2 linked regions of the Kluyveromyces lactis genome follow. The protein of the gene in region 2 interacts with the protein of the main gene of each other region in a pairwise test. Links are inferred from orthologs where the notes say so. Each region holds a gene or a part of one and is shown on either strand. Other genes may lie near its edges.

Evidence for each region.
Region 1: the proteins of SHS1 (region 2) and SCS22 interact in binary tests that used the Saccharomyces cerevisiae proteins (3 or more experiments, as listed by UniProt). The link is inferred for Kluyveromyces lactis from reciprocal best matches to the Saccharomyces cerevisiae genes SHS1 and SCS2.

What each region holds. Positions count from the first base shown.
Region 1 is NC_006041.1:621,660-627,704, reverse strand, and holds SCS22 (phospholipid metabolism-regulating protein SCS22), read left to right. Parts: upstream 1-2,873; coding exon 2,874-3,698; downstream 3,699-6,045. Other genes in the region: MRP21 (mitochondrial 37S ribosomal protein bS21m), read right to left, coding at 1-448; MAP2 (methionine aminopeptidase), read left to right, coding at 841-2,097; RPL32 (60S ribosomal protein eL32), read right to left, coding at 4,612-5,004. UniProt on the Saccharomyces cerevisiae protein: Acts as an endoplasmic reticulum (ER) membrane anchor for cytoplasmic proteins via binding to the FFAT motif of targeted proteins. Regulates phospholipid biosynthesis by modulating the subcellular localization of the transcriptional repressor OPI1.
Region 2 is NC_006042.1:1,938,034-1,944,825, forward strand, and holds SHS1 (septin SHS1), read left to right. Parts: upstream 1-1,655; coding exon 1,656-3,311; downstream 3,312-6,792. Other genes in the region: GCR2 (Gcr2p), read right to left, coding at 1-803; KLLA0_F20834g (uncharacterized protein), read right to left, coding at 3,983-5,833. UniProt on the Saccharomyces cerevisiae protein: Septins are GTPases involved in cytokinesis that assemble early in the cell cycle as a patch at the incipient bud site and form a ring approximately 15 minutes before bud emergence, which transforms into an hour-glass shaped collar of cortical filaments that spans both sides of the mother-bud neck.

The DNA of each region.
Region 1 (6,045 bases), on a different chromosome or scaffold from region 2:
TGGCGTCCTTGACCACCTCTATTAAGTTCTTGAAACTCTTCATGAACTCCTTTCTGTGCTTTTGAGACTTTCTCAATTCTCTTGCCTTACCAGGCTTCAAATAGAACCTTTGAGCCCTCTTGTCCTTTTGAATGGAGTTCGATCTTACGATGGACCCTAGCCTTTGGAAAGCAGCCATGGTGTTACCGCTAAAGACATCAATAGTTCTTCCAGCTTGGATTCCTGTTAGCTTGGAACTCAAAGTATCTTCTCTTGGCGACTGCATCATTGCCGAAAAGGACATGTCTTTCCTAGATCCGTTTGACGATTCCTTTGCACTTTTAGATAGCGGAGTCAACCTTGTATAATCTATGATTTCTTGTCTCCTAATAGTGCATTGTGTAAATTGTCTGGACAATAAAGTAGATGTCCTGCTGGCACCCAATTGGAACCCTCTTGCAGTTAGCATGGTTTGATTTGCTTTCCTATCCTTTCAAAATGTTAAGTCCCGTAGCCCGATAAGATCGCGTTAGACCTCACCTAAATTTTAAAATATCCACCACAAGCAGTTAGTTCTAGTAAACTTTCCCGTTATAAGTGTCGGTTCAAAGAGTGCAGAGAATGGCTTCTTTTGAAGTTTGGAATCCTGCTCAGATGTTGGTTTTTCTTATCTTATTTCATTTCGTCAAATTTCATGTTGAAAAATTTAAAGCTTTGGAAGATTGAAATTCTTGAGAGAATATAAAGGTAACAAAGCAATGGTACGTATACTCTGGTCATAAAGAGATGAGGTGACCGATGTTATACAGACAAGTTCTGCAAAGACCCATATTGCAGAAATCAATTCTAGTTGTTTAAAAAATGGTGGCTGATACAGATGTCAAAGAGATTGTTGTAGATGCACTTCCTGAGGTTTCTGAACCTGCAGCTGTTGATGACAGTGAAGTGACAGAGGATGCTACCGTGCAGGATAAGAAGAAAAAGAAGAAGAAGAAGAAGAAGAAGGGTAATAATATGAAGAACATTGCTTTAATATACCCTGATGAGAAATACCCTGAGGGACAGTGGATGGAATACCATCAAGATTTCAATCTGAAAAGAGTTACCGATGAAGAGAGGAGATACTTGGAAAGAAGTGAAGAGTACGAACAAAGGTGTAATGATATGCGTAAAGGTGCTGAGATTCACCGTCGTGTAAGGGAAAGTGTTAGAAATAAGATCAAGCCGGGTATGACATTGACTGAGATTGCTAATTTGGTGGAAGACGGGACTAGAAAGTTTACTGGCACTGATGCCAATGGGGATCACGTTGATAGACCAAAGAGCCAAGGTATTGCGTTCCCAACTGGTCTATCGCTCAACCACTGTGCTGCTCATTTCACTCCTAATGCTGGTGACAAGACCGTGTTGAAGTTCGAGGATGTAATGAAAGTTGATTTCGGTGTCCATGTTAATGGTTATATCATCGATTCTGCGTTTACTATTGCATTCGATCCACAATACGATAATTTGTTGGCTGCTGTGAAGGATGCAACCAATACTGGTATTAAAGAGGCAGGTATCGACGTTAGGTTGACTGATATCGGTGAAGCTATTCAAGAAGTGATGGAATCGTACGAAGTGGAAATTAACGGTGAGACACACCAAGTGAAACCATGCAGGAATTTGTGCGGCCACAACATTAATCCTTATTCGATTCATGGGGGTAAATCTGTGCCAATTGTCAAGAACGGTGACAACACAAAGATGGAAGAAAACGAACATTTCGCTATCGAAACTTTCGGGAGTACCGGTCGTGGGTATGTTATACAAGAGGGAGAATGCTCTCATTATGCTAAGAAACCCGGTTCACATCCAACACCATCCCTATCGAGTGCCAAGAATCTATTAAAGGTTATTGATGAAAATTTTGGAACTATACCGTTCTGTCGTCGTTACTTGGATAGATTGGGCGAAGACAAGCACGTATACGCTTTGAACACATTGGTGAGGCAAGGTATTGTAGAAGACTACCCACCATTGAACGATATTAAGGGCTCATATACGGCTCAATTCGAACACACCCTTATCCTACATCCTCACAAGAAGGAAATTGTCTCTCGTGGTGACGACTATTGAAAGATACCATAAGACTTGTCGTAGTCAATACATAACAAACGCTACAACATATGCATATCTAGGTAAATTCAGTTTCGTTTAAATAGAATATAAAGTATAAAAGAACTGAAATCAAACCGTGCACTGTTGGTACCTCAAAAGATGCTTAATGCTCTTAGTGAGAGGGAAGTCTGTGTCGACTGCTCGCTGCATGATAATTACGTAACGAGGTTCAGTGCCCATTTCATTTGTTGTGGTTACCCTCACACATAAATACCCGAATTTGACATTTTGCAAACAAAGAAAAGTTGAACTAAGCGATTACAATTAAGAACAGAGAGACTTAGTTTTTGGCAGGATTTACAGTGATCGGTTCCTAGGTTAATTGTTCGAAGATTATCAGGTACGGTTATCTAATTCGTTTATCTTTCTATTTGGGATTTGTTATTTCGTTAGATTCGGGAAGTCTATTAGTTTTCCAGCTCTAACACAAGTGTGTATAAACTGTTTCTCACTATTATAAGTTTACAATGGTTGAAATTACTCCAAGTGTATTGGAATACAAACGTATGTGTCGCTTTGAGCAGTGGTTTAAAGGGATTAAAAACCACTTTACTATATGATCAGTTACAAAATATGGTGTTTAGCATTTGAAAGTGTACTTCGTGTGGTCAAATGTGTGGCCATATTGGCTCACTTTTCTTGCATGAGAGACAAATAATGGGATGAATACTTAGAAGGATTACAGGGATTCTGATAGATGTTCCATATCCTCAACCACATGGAATTATTCTCCGATGCTTAGATACTCAATATTATGTTTCTGTTATTATGCATTCGATATACTAACAAGCTTCCAAATCATTATTTCAATGTTTAATGGGATCATTTTTGCGATTCCATTATTCAATGTGATTTACCTCTCTGTTTTCGTAATAGCACCTTTCACTAGCCAAGCAGCTGAGCATATTACCATCAAGAATGACTCAGAACAAACAATTGCCTTTAAGGTGAAGACCACAGCTCCTAAGGTATACTGTGTAAGACCTAATGCCGCTTTGGTGCCAGCCGGTGAAAGCGTTGATGTTCAAGTGATTCTTTTAGGATTGAAGGAAGAACCTACACCAGATTTCAAATGTAAAGATAAATTCTTGGTTATAGCTTTGCCAGCTCCTTACGATTTAGGTGAACTGAGTGTGGCCGAAGCTTGGCCTCAATTGGAAGCAGAGTTCAAGAACAAGGGCCTGTCAAAGAAGATTAAGGTAAATTATCAACTAGATGCTGAACCAAGAGTCGTGGAAAATCTAGAAACTGATAACGTGCAAACTGAGACTGTCATTCCTTCAGCCAAGGAAACTATTGCTAGTGGTTCGAAAGCTACAGAAGAGTCCGCTAGTGAACCGGTACAAAAGAAATCTGTCCCGGTTGCATCTGCCAATACTGACCTGGATACTGAAAAGCCAAAAGTTGTGGAAAGTGAACCAAAGCTCGATGAAAAGGTCAAATCTGATACCAGCGCTAACACTGAAATTATTGCAGAACCCGCTAGTACGTCGAATATTGCACCGGCCGTGGTCATTTGGATCGTTATAGGTTTCTTACTTTGGTATTGGTTATCTTAGGATACATTCTGATTAAGTGAGGGAACTATCAACCATCGTATAATATATGACAACATATTTCTCGACTTTGATAGAAATGTTGTTATGAATTATATTCGTATTTCTTTTCTTATCTACGTCTGTTTCTTTTGTTTTAATTACCCCCGTACTTTTTAACCTGTTTGTTCTTTTCTTTGCAGGATTTCTTCATGCGGCTAAAATCATTCTTCATTATTGTTATTGTATTATCATTACAGCCATTAGTACTATGTTTTCCCCTAGCCAAGACATTGACAAGATATTTGAGTTAGTATTGAAATTGTTCATCTTGTGACACAGCTGTTCTTTTCATCGTTGTTTCGTTGAAACAACTCATTGAAAACAAAGGGAGACGAAAGATATTGAACTAATTCTCCTTCAAATTGATCCCAATATACTCAGCAACCGTCATTGATACTTTTCTTTCTGGCTCTTTTTACATCCTTTTTTTTTCTTCTGTTTATAGAGGCTCTTTTGGCAACTGTCCTATATTCAATTTGTCGCATGCCATCAAATGATTTCTCAATTGCAATGAGCTGGACAAGGTACTATTTGGCACAATACCACCGACCCTTGTCTTTAACTAGCTACAGGTACAACGATATCCACTGAATACATGAAGTATATATATTTGTAATTCCAATCACATCGATACGATGTCAGCACTCAACTCTGCGTGGAAAGTCCAACTATTAGTGAGTAAAAATGCACGCTTGATGCCGTCGTCAAACATATAAAAATGTGAAATGACAGTGAAACTAGTTGAGTAAGCTGAGTAAATGAACGAAAGGATGTTTATGTATTCAATTCAATTCAATTCAATATGAGAGAAATTATGTTAAGAAGTGATTTGATAGTTTATATTGACAATTTAAAAACCTAGATATTAAAACATTTAAGCTTCCAAAGCCAATCTAGCCTTAGCGTTGGTAACCTTGATACCGTTCTTCTTAGCTTCAGCCAAGATAGCAATTCTGTTCTTGGAAGAAACGTTGTGAGCGATTTCAGCGGCGAAGGTCTTGGTGTGCATCAACAATGGGGTCAAACCCTTGACGTTGGAGACAAGAACAACCTTACGGCCATCTGGACCCATGAACTTGGTCTTCTTGTTGGAACCGTAACCGATGGTTGGTTCAGAAATGTTACCTCTGAATCTTCTTCTAACAACAGAGTCAATACCCTTTTGCTTTCTCCAGTTTTCAGAGACTCTGTGGTAACGGTCAGAGTGATGACGCTTGAACTTCTTGGTATGTTTCTTAACAATCTTTGGGTGTAGAGAAGCAGCCATCTGTTTAAAAATTAAAGTAATATCGAAATATTGTTATCTTGTTAGTATTAATGTTTTTTGCCTGATAGAGCGGATGTTGTGCTATTCCACTATGCCTCTATAGCAAACGGTATATCGACCTAATGAGCTTTTTCTTCTGAGATGAACTGGTGAAAGTGAACAAATTGTGGCAAGTATAAGGATGAGTTGAGTTTGTCTAATATTAATAAAACATGGAAATCTTAAAAATTCTAGATTAAGAATCCAGGCAAATTTTTCGTTATAGATCCCCACTGTAATAACCTGTTTCAATATTACAACAATTGTCATTCATTGCCAGTCATTAGTTTTATATCGTATGATTTTTAGTACTCTTACAAATCACAAACCACACATTGCTCATCATATCATACCAAATAATTTCATTTCTACCCCACGGTAATAGATGGATGAATATAAGACACTGAATCAACATGTTATAAACTCATTGATATAGATATCCCACGTTTATCTAGTTAAACTCATTGGTTTTTTGCTTCTCATTGTATCTCACTCAAATATCGTCTACATCTGGCCGTTCGAAACGCATATCAATTCTCATTTCTATTCCGCACGTATTGTACCACTATGTACATACCTTGAACTATTCTTTCCTTGCTGAGTCTTTCTATCTGATACCTATACCAATACCATTAACAGTACTTTCATATATAACGTATAAACTCAACTTTTCAACATTATACTATTTCGTTAAACCAAAAAGTTCCAGACACACAAACTACAGAGAACGTAATACAAACTGGTTGCTGCTAGGCCCGCTTTCCCTCTACCATATTTCTCCGCCTGGCAAACTGATTCCTTCCTCTGTCCACAGGTAGAGAGACTGTCCGAGCTGGGGAGAAGGAAGCCAAACCCTCTCTGCCTAGCCCATTGCCAAGCTGAGCGAACGGGAAAGGGGTGTGCCAGCCTACCGACAGGTATTGGATCTGCCTCCCGTGTACCCTTCTCAGTCCATTGCCTGGGTCCCGCTGCAGCAGTGAGTGGATCACGGAAAAATCAAAG
Region 2 (6,792 bases):
TTTCTAGTGATATATTTCCGTACTCGCTTTCTCGCAGGTTGCTCTTCCTCATTGATCTGTTCCATAGCTTTCCCATTGGTACTCTCGGTCATTGCTCTGGGCCAATCAAACTGGCTATTGGGACTTTGGTTGGCATTTGCCTGGACGTTAGAATAGTAATCCTGATCTTGTACTCTACTCACTTGTTCCAGTTTATTATCCACCTGTGATAATGAAAAGTCCGGTGAAGTGATTGTATTTACAACCGATTTACGTCTGGGGGCAAGCACGGGCGATTCCCTAGCAGACGCAGTGGTACTTTTCCCTGGCCTCCTCAACGGTGTTATTAACCCCGTTGTCTTGTCGTAGACTTTGTCGATGTTGAAAGATAATACCTGCCATAGAGGATCGTCCACGTTATCCCGTATCTTCCAGTTGTTCTCATCCAACTTCAAAAAATACCGATTGTACGGGCTCACGTCATAACTTAGCAATATCTCTTTCAATATCTGTTGAAATCGCTGAAACAATTCGATATTTGATTTGGGTACGTTCGATTGTTCATCTAAGGGTACGATTGTCACTAGAGCATCGTAAAGTTGTGAGAGACTTTGGAAATATTGCATATGACGTTCGTCCAAGGGTTTCAGCGATATAGGAGATTGCTGATTCGGACTAATCGTGGAATTCAATAGCTCGGGAAGCTCCAAGACTTCTCCGTTGGATATCAATTGGTAACCCTTGATCAAAAATACGTCGAGCTTGATCTGATGATGCATGATGCCTGTCGGACTACTATGTGAAGTGCTCCCGATATCAGACATGGCTCTTCCAGTATGTGTACGTAGCAGGGGAGGGCCGATCTTTGAAGTCCGTAACAAGCAGTTCAAAGACCTTAAGTATGCTGCCGCTTCCGCAGATTTTCTCGCTTACTGTGTATTTCTTTCTCTCTTTCTCTCTATCTTTCGTTTCGTTAAGGTGCAACATTTCCACATTGCATCACCTTATGTTCTAGCAAGAACTAAAAGCGACAAAATTGCAAAACAAAGACGCATCTCATTGAACACATAGAGCCCTTCTGCAAGGGCTAAAATCCGAAGCCTTTCATATGTAGACCAAGGCAGTACCAAAGCTAGCCGGACCTAGATCGAAGATCGTTATCAACTTATAACGTAATCCACTGACGGACATATACATTCACATCACTGAGACAGAAATATAAGTCACGTGAAGAAGTGGCGCCATATATATGTATATATGCCTTAGTTCCCCAATACATAGACTAGTTACGATATGTGGTTCATCGAACTGTAACCATTTGATGTTCCCATGTCACTGGTAACTTTTGTCCTTGCCTTAGGTATCTTTGAGTGTCTCATTTCCCATGGCTATGTTCGAGCCTTTTAATCGGTGAAAAGTTTCGAAACGGTTAATATCACGTAAAAGATATCAATTCCATATTTAAATTTAGACGAGAATGTAATTTGACTGAAACAACAACGTCTTTTGATAAAAAAAGTGTATTCTATACGTTGCAGAGCTACATTAATCAAGTGAACCATTGAACGAGACGAGTTTCAATCAATTGGATAGGAATCATTGTACTTTGGCGATTCTATTTAGAATATAATTGGAAGTGAAAAGTGAAGCCGTTTGATCTTGGAAGCAATAAAAAGATGTCCGCTAGTCCTGTATCTCAGGTATTCTCACCAAGCAACAATGGGGTCAGTGTGTTCCGTAGAAAGAAGGAGAAGAGAGGTATTACTTTCTCGATGATGTTGGTTGGTGCTTCTGGTACTGGTAAGACCACTTTCGCTAACAATTTATTGGAATCTACCATTTTCCCTCATAGATATCAACAAGATGTTCCAGCTAGCACGAATAACGAGAATGTTAAGATTATCCAACCAACTAAGGTTGTCACGTTCAATTCGATGAACGGTATTCCCAGCTACATGTCGGCATTTGATCCAGCCTCGCCGTTTTTGGAACCAGGTATCACTGTGACGTCTACTGCCCTGGAGATCACGACGAAATCTAGTGAGGATATCGATAGCGCTACCCCTGAAAAGATCAATTTCTTTCTCACCGACACCCTGGGACTGGGTGAAAACTTAAATAATGGGATCTGTTTCGATGAGATTGCTTCATATTTGGAGCAACAATTTGATTCGGTACTCGCTGAGGAGACCAGAATCAAGAGAAATCCAAGGTTCCAGGATACAAGAGTTCATGTCGCGTTATACTTTATTGAACCCACGGGACATGGGTTACGTGAATTGGATGTTGAAATTATGAAGAGACTATCCCGCTACACAAATGTTCTACCAATTGTCGCTAGAGCAGATTCGTTCACACCTGATGAATTGACTAGGTTCAAGAAGAGAATTATGGAAGACATTGATAGATTTAACGTTCCTATCTACAAATTCGAAGTTGACGAAAATGAGGATGATCTAGAAACAATTGAAGAGAACAAGGCATTAGCGAGACTTCAGCCGTTTGCTATTATCTGCGCCGACCAACGCGATAATGCTACCGGTAAATACTATCGTGAGTATCCATGGGGTAAAATTGACATCGATAATGAAAACATTTCGGACTTGAAATTGTTGAAAAGGGTTCTCTTCGGGTCCCATTTGCAAGAGTTTAAGGACACGACACAAAATCTGTTGTATGAAAACTACCGTGCTGAGAAATTGGCGTCTGTGCCAGCCTGGGACATTGAAAACAACGAAGTTATAGATACTTCTATCAATGACGAAAACAATGAGGGTAATTCTTCAGGGTTGATGAAAGGGTTGACTAGAAACAGTACAGCTCCATCCTTGTCAAATTTCGCCTCTCTAATAAATACAGGAAAGTTTAAGTCTCAACAATCACTTGCAATTCCACCTCAATCTGAAACCCCATCTACACCACGTCTAACCGGGGTAGATGAAGGAGATGAGTCTCGCGCTTCAATCTCTGCCAGTTCACAGAAATCTACTCCTGCCAATATTCAAACTTCTCCAGAAAGAACAAAGTTACGGAATATTTCCGAAAATATCCCATACATGCTTCAGCACGAGCGCATAGTAGCAAGGAAACAAAAGCTTGAAGAATTGGAGGCACAATCTGCCAAAGAGTTACAAAAGAGAATTCAAGAACTTGAAAGAAAGGCTATTGAATTGAAGATGAAGGAAAAGCTACTAAGACAAAACTCACATAGTCAATCTCAAGAATCTATCCAGACTAATACAACTAAACAAAATTCAACTTCTGGAGGTGCTTACATTAAGAAAGAGGAAACCTATAACGATTTAGCTTCGATAATCAGCAAAAAAGAATGAATTCAGTCTTGATATCTTTCTTTGGCATTTTTGTAAGTCGAAGTGTTTGGTTCCTGAAACGATTTCATATGTAATTTAAACAATATTGATTATTTTGTATATTGCAAACGGTCACGTCTAGATTGATCTGCTACCTGTTTCCAAATTTGATGAGTTTAAGATGGTGATGTAAAAATCAGAAAAATATACGTACTGTTACAGGTATATATATATATATAATATAATAATGAGTTAAGGTATTTTCGTGCCACTTATCAATAAATGGAATTTATCTGTTCAGATGACATAGTATTATGAGATAAAAAAGATTGGTGAAAAATTTATGTTCATCCAGTGCTTCAAGATAAAAAATAGCTAGTGTAACTGGAGAGAACTAAGAAAACCGAAAAATGCAAAATAATGTTCCCGATGGCAATTAAAAACATCAAGAAACAACATTCATTCAGCGACGATGAGAAAAGGCACTGGGGGAAATAATAGGAAAAGAGATTTAACCGAATTGAAAAATGGTTGCAAAATAACATTAAAGAGTTGGAAACAAGACATAATTGATCAATAAAGACTTCAAGTGCGAACATAAGTCATTTTAACAACGCAAAAAAGGGTTATGACGACGTAAATATGAAGTGTAAGAAAAAGGCAATGGGAAGATGATCTTTTTATAATATTTTTCATTTGGAGAATGCATTTTCGTAGGAGTAATTGGTAGTAGATGACTTTAGATCATTAGTGACTCCATTTGCAAGAGTGGCAATGCTACTATTGTTACTACCAGTGCTTCCATTATTATTGTTGCTTGAACTTGGATTGCCGCTGATAGTTTTACCATTTTGAGCATTATTTGAGTTGCTAGTTGGTTGGCCAGAACCACTGCTTCCACTCCTTCTGCTGTTTGGACCACGAACACCAAGTGGGTTTTTAGAGAAACTCAATCTAATTCCACCTTTGGTGTTGTGTGCGCCAACTGGTCTTGGTAATTGACTACCATATAATTCGGCTAGAGCTCTTGTAGCATGTGCGACGTCTTCAAACTCAACAAAGCACATAGGACCATGCCCACTGTTATTGTTGTTCTTGTTTCTGAATGATAACCTCTTGAATCCTTTTTGACCTCCAAATAGTTGTCGTAGTTCTTGTTCGGTGGCATCTGGAGGTAGGTTACCCACATAAAGTGTATTGCAAGGTGGATTTTGATCGGCTGGATTGGCTGGAGGAGGAACTCTTGCTAACAACGATAAGTCCACCTGAGAAATTCCAGGAGTATTCTGTAAAACACTTGCCACACTTCTGGTGATAGGTTGTGACTGAGTAGAGTTGTTAGCGTTAACATTAGTTGCAGATGAAGAATTACTAATGTTGGTTCTGCTGCCAGATTTATGAGGAGTATGCGACGTTGATGAAGTTGGTGTTACAGGTTTAGAAGACACAGAAGCTGAGGACCTACCGTTCATCTGTTGGGCGACACCGACCTGTGAAGATGGATCAGAGTTTGGCGGTAAATTTGTCGCACTTGAATTGGCCTGTTGAGGGCCAGAGAAAACGGAACTGCTTTGCTTTCTAGCAGCACCATTCTTGGATGCAGACCAATCTACAACTGCATTTTGTTGTTGTTGATTGTACGTGGTATTTACCATGTTGTTCACAGTAGAGAGTGAAGGGTTTGATCCCCAAATTGTGTCATTAATGCCATCTCCTTCCATTAACAAGAATGATTTACCAGCATCGATGTTTTGCAGTGGAGTTTGAGCAGACGTTTGTGCAGGTGGAATATGTGGATTTTCTGCGCTGAAGGGATCAGAAAATGAGAATCTAGACCGTTGTCCTAGCAGACTGGGCCTTTTCCGACTTGATGATTGGGGAGGCGATGTCAACGTTGGAGCAACGTTTGAGGATACGCTTCCGGATGATGGTATTTGAAATGAGTTTGTGTTCAGTTGTGGCTGCAACTGAGGTGAGTTTGTCTGGAAAAACAGCTGTTGATTAGTTAATTCGTCGATGACCTCCACCGCCACCTTGAATGGATATGCTGGACCGAATATTTGGGATTTGATATTAAGAATAGAGGCATATTGGCATGCCAAATGCTGAGATTCAAATTTTGCCACCACGTACGGTTGGTTATCTTCATGAGGTATCACATCAATGGATAGTACACCATGAGCCAATGAGAAAAGGGCATAAGCCTCCCTCAAGTTTATGTCGGTAGGAATATTGCGCAATATCAATAGATAACTACCAATGGATGGGGTTTGTGGTTGATTTCCAGTGTTAATGGATAATGTGTTCAGTACCGATGAGAGGTTTAGTGGTGAACCACTGTGGTCCGAGTGGTGGCGAGGTATTGTCGAACCATTTGCATGTGTTGGCGATGCGTTGCTGGGATTAACTGCTGATAACTGTTCAGAGCTAGTACTGAATCCACGATGCAGCTGATAAGTTGTATCGAAGGAAGGATGGATCATCATGGGGTTTTCGTTGATGTTATTGGAGTTTGGATTTGAGTTGATATTGCTTATTGGCATATGAATGATGGCCTCGTCGTAAGAATGATCAATGTGTGGAAATGTGCACTAAAGTAACACTAATGCCAAAAAAAGACGATAAATGAGATGAAGAGCGAAGATTCACTTTTTGTCAAACGCTCAAGAAACTCAATTAAATAGCAGAACAGAATAATCACCAAAGAAAACAATGTTTTGCTTTCGACAAAATGCTGAATAATTGTTGAACTGTGTGGTGTCTCTCTATCGACTGGAGTTCTTCTCTAAGGTTAGAATATTGGTGGATGAGTTCACTGTTTTTTTAACCAATCACAAAAGGATGGGAAGCAGAAAATAGAAGAATAAACTGCTATTCTCCAGGTACGTGAACGAGTGAAGTACGCAACTCCTATCTCACTGTTACAAAATACAATTGATAATGTTCTGAAACAGGACTGTACTCCTATGATTCACAAGAAGAATGAGACTTTTTTCCTTCTTTTCCCTCTTCTCTTTTGTTTCTTGAAAGTTTTATGTAACCCTTTTGTTCTTTAGGAAGTAATTAATTTTTTTTTATCAAAAAAAAAATTCCTTTAAAAGATATCGATCGAGATGGGTTATTTCCAAGAAAATAGTATGTTTCCAAAAACCAAAAAAAACAAAGATGAATTTTAAGAAAAGGAAACGAAATGATAAAATAGGTATAACAAAGAAAACAGAAATGAAATCTTACGCTCAATGAGTTTTTTGGACTTAGGCCTCTAGAATTGATTGATCTTGGTCAATTAATGGCCTTTCGTTTCTTCCTGTTACACTGTCGCCAAAAAATCCTTGTAAAGACAGTTTTCTGTCGGAACACGCTATTTCGTAATGCTGTTATTTTTCCTGTTTTTCTCTAATTCAGCGACTTTAGTGCCCTGTAAGTCGATGCTCTGAATTGGTGTCTCTGTCACTCTGCTCGAGTTTGCTCGTGTCGGTGATAGTAAGTATACGGAAATATA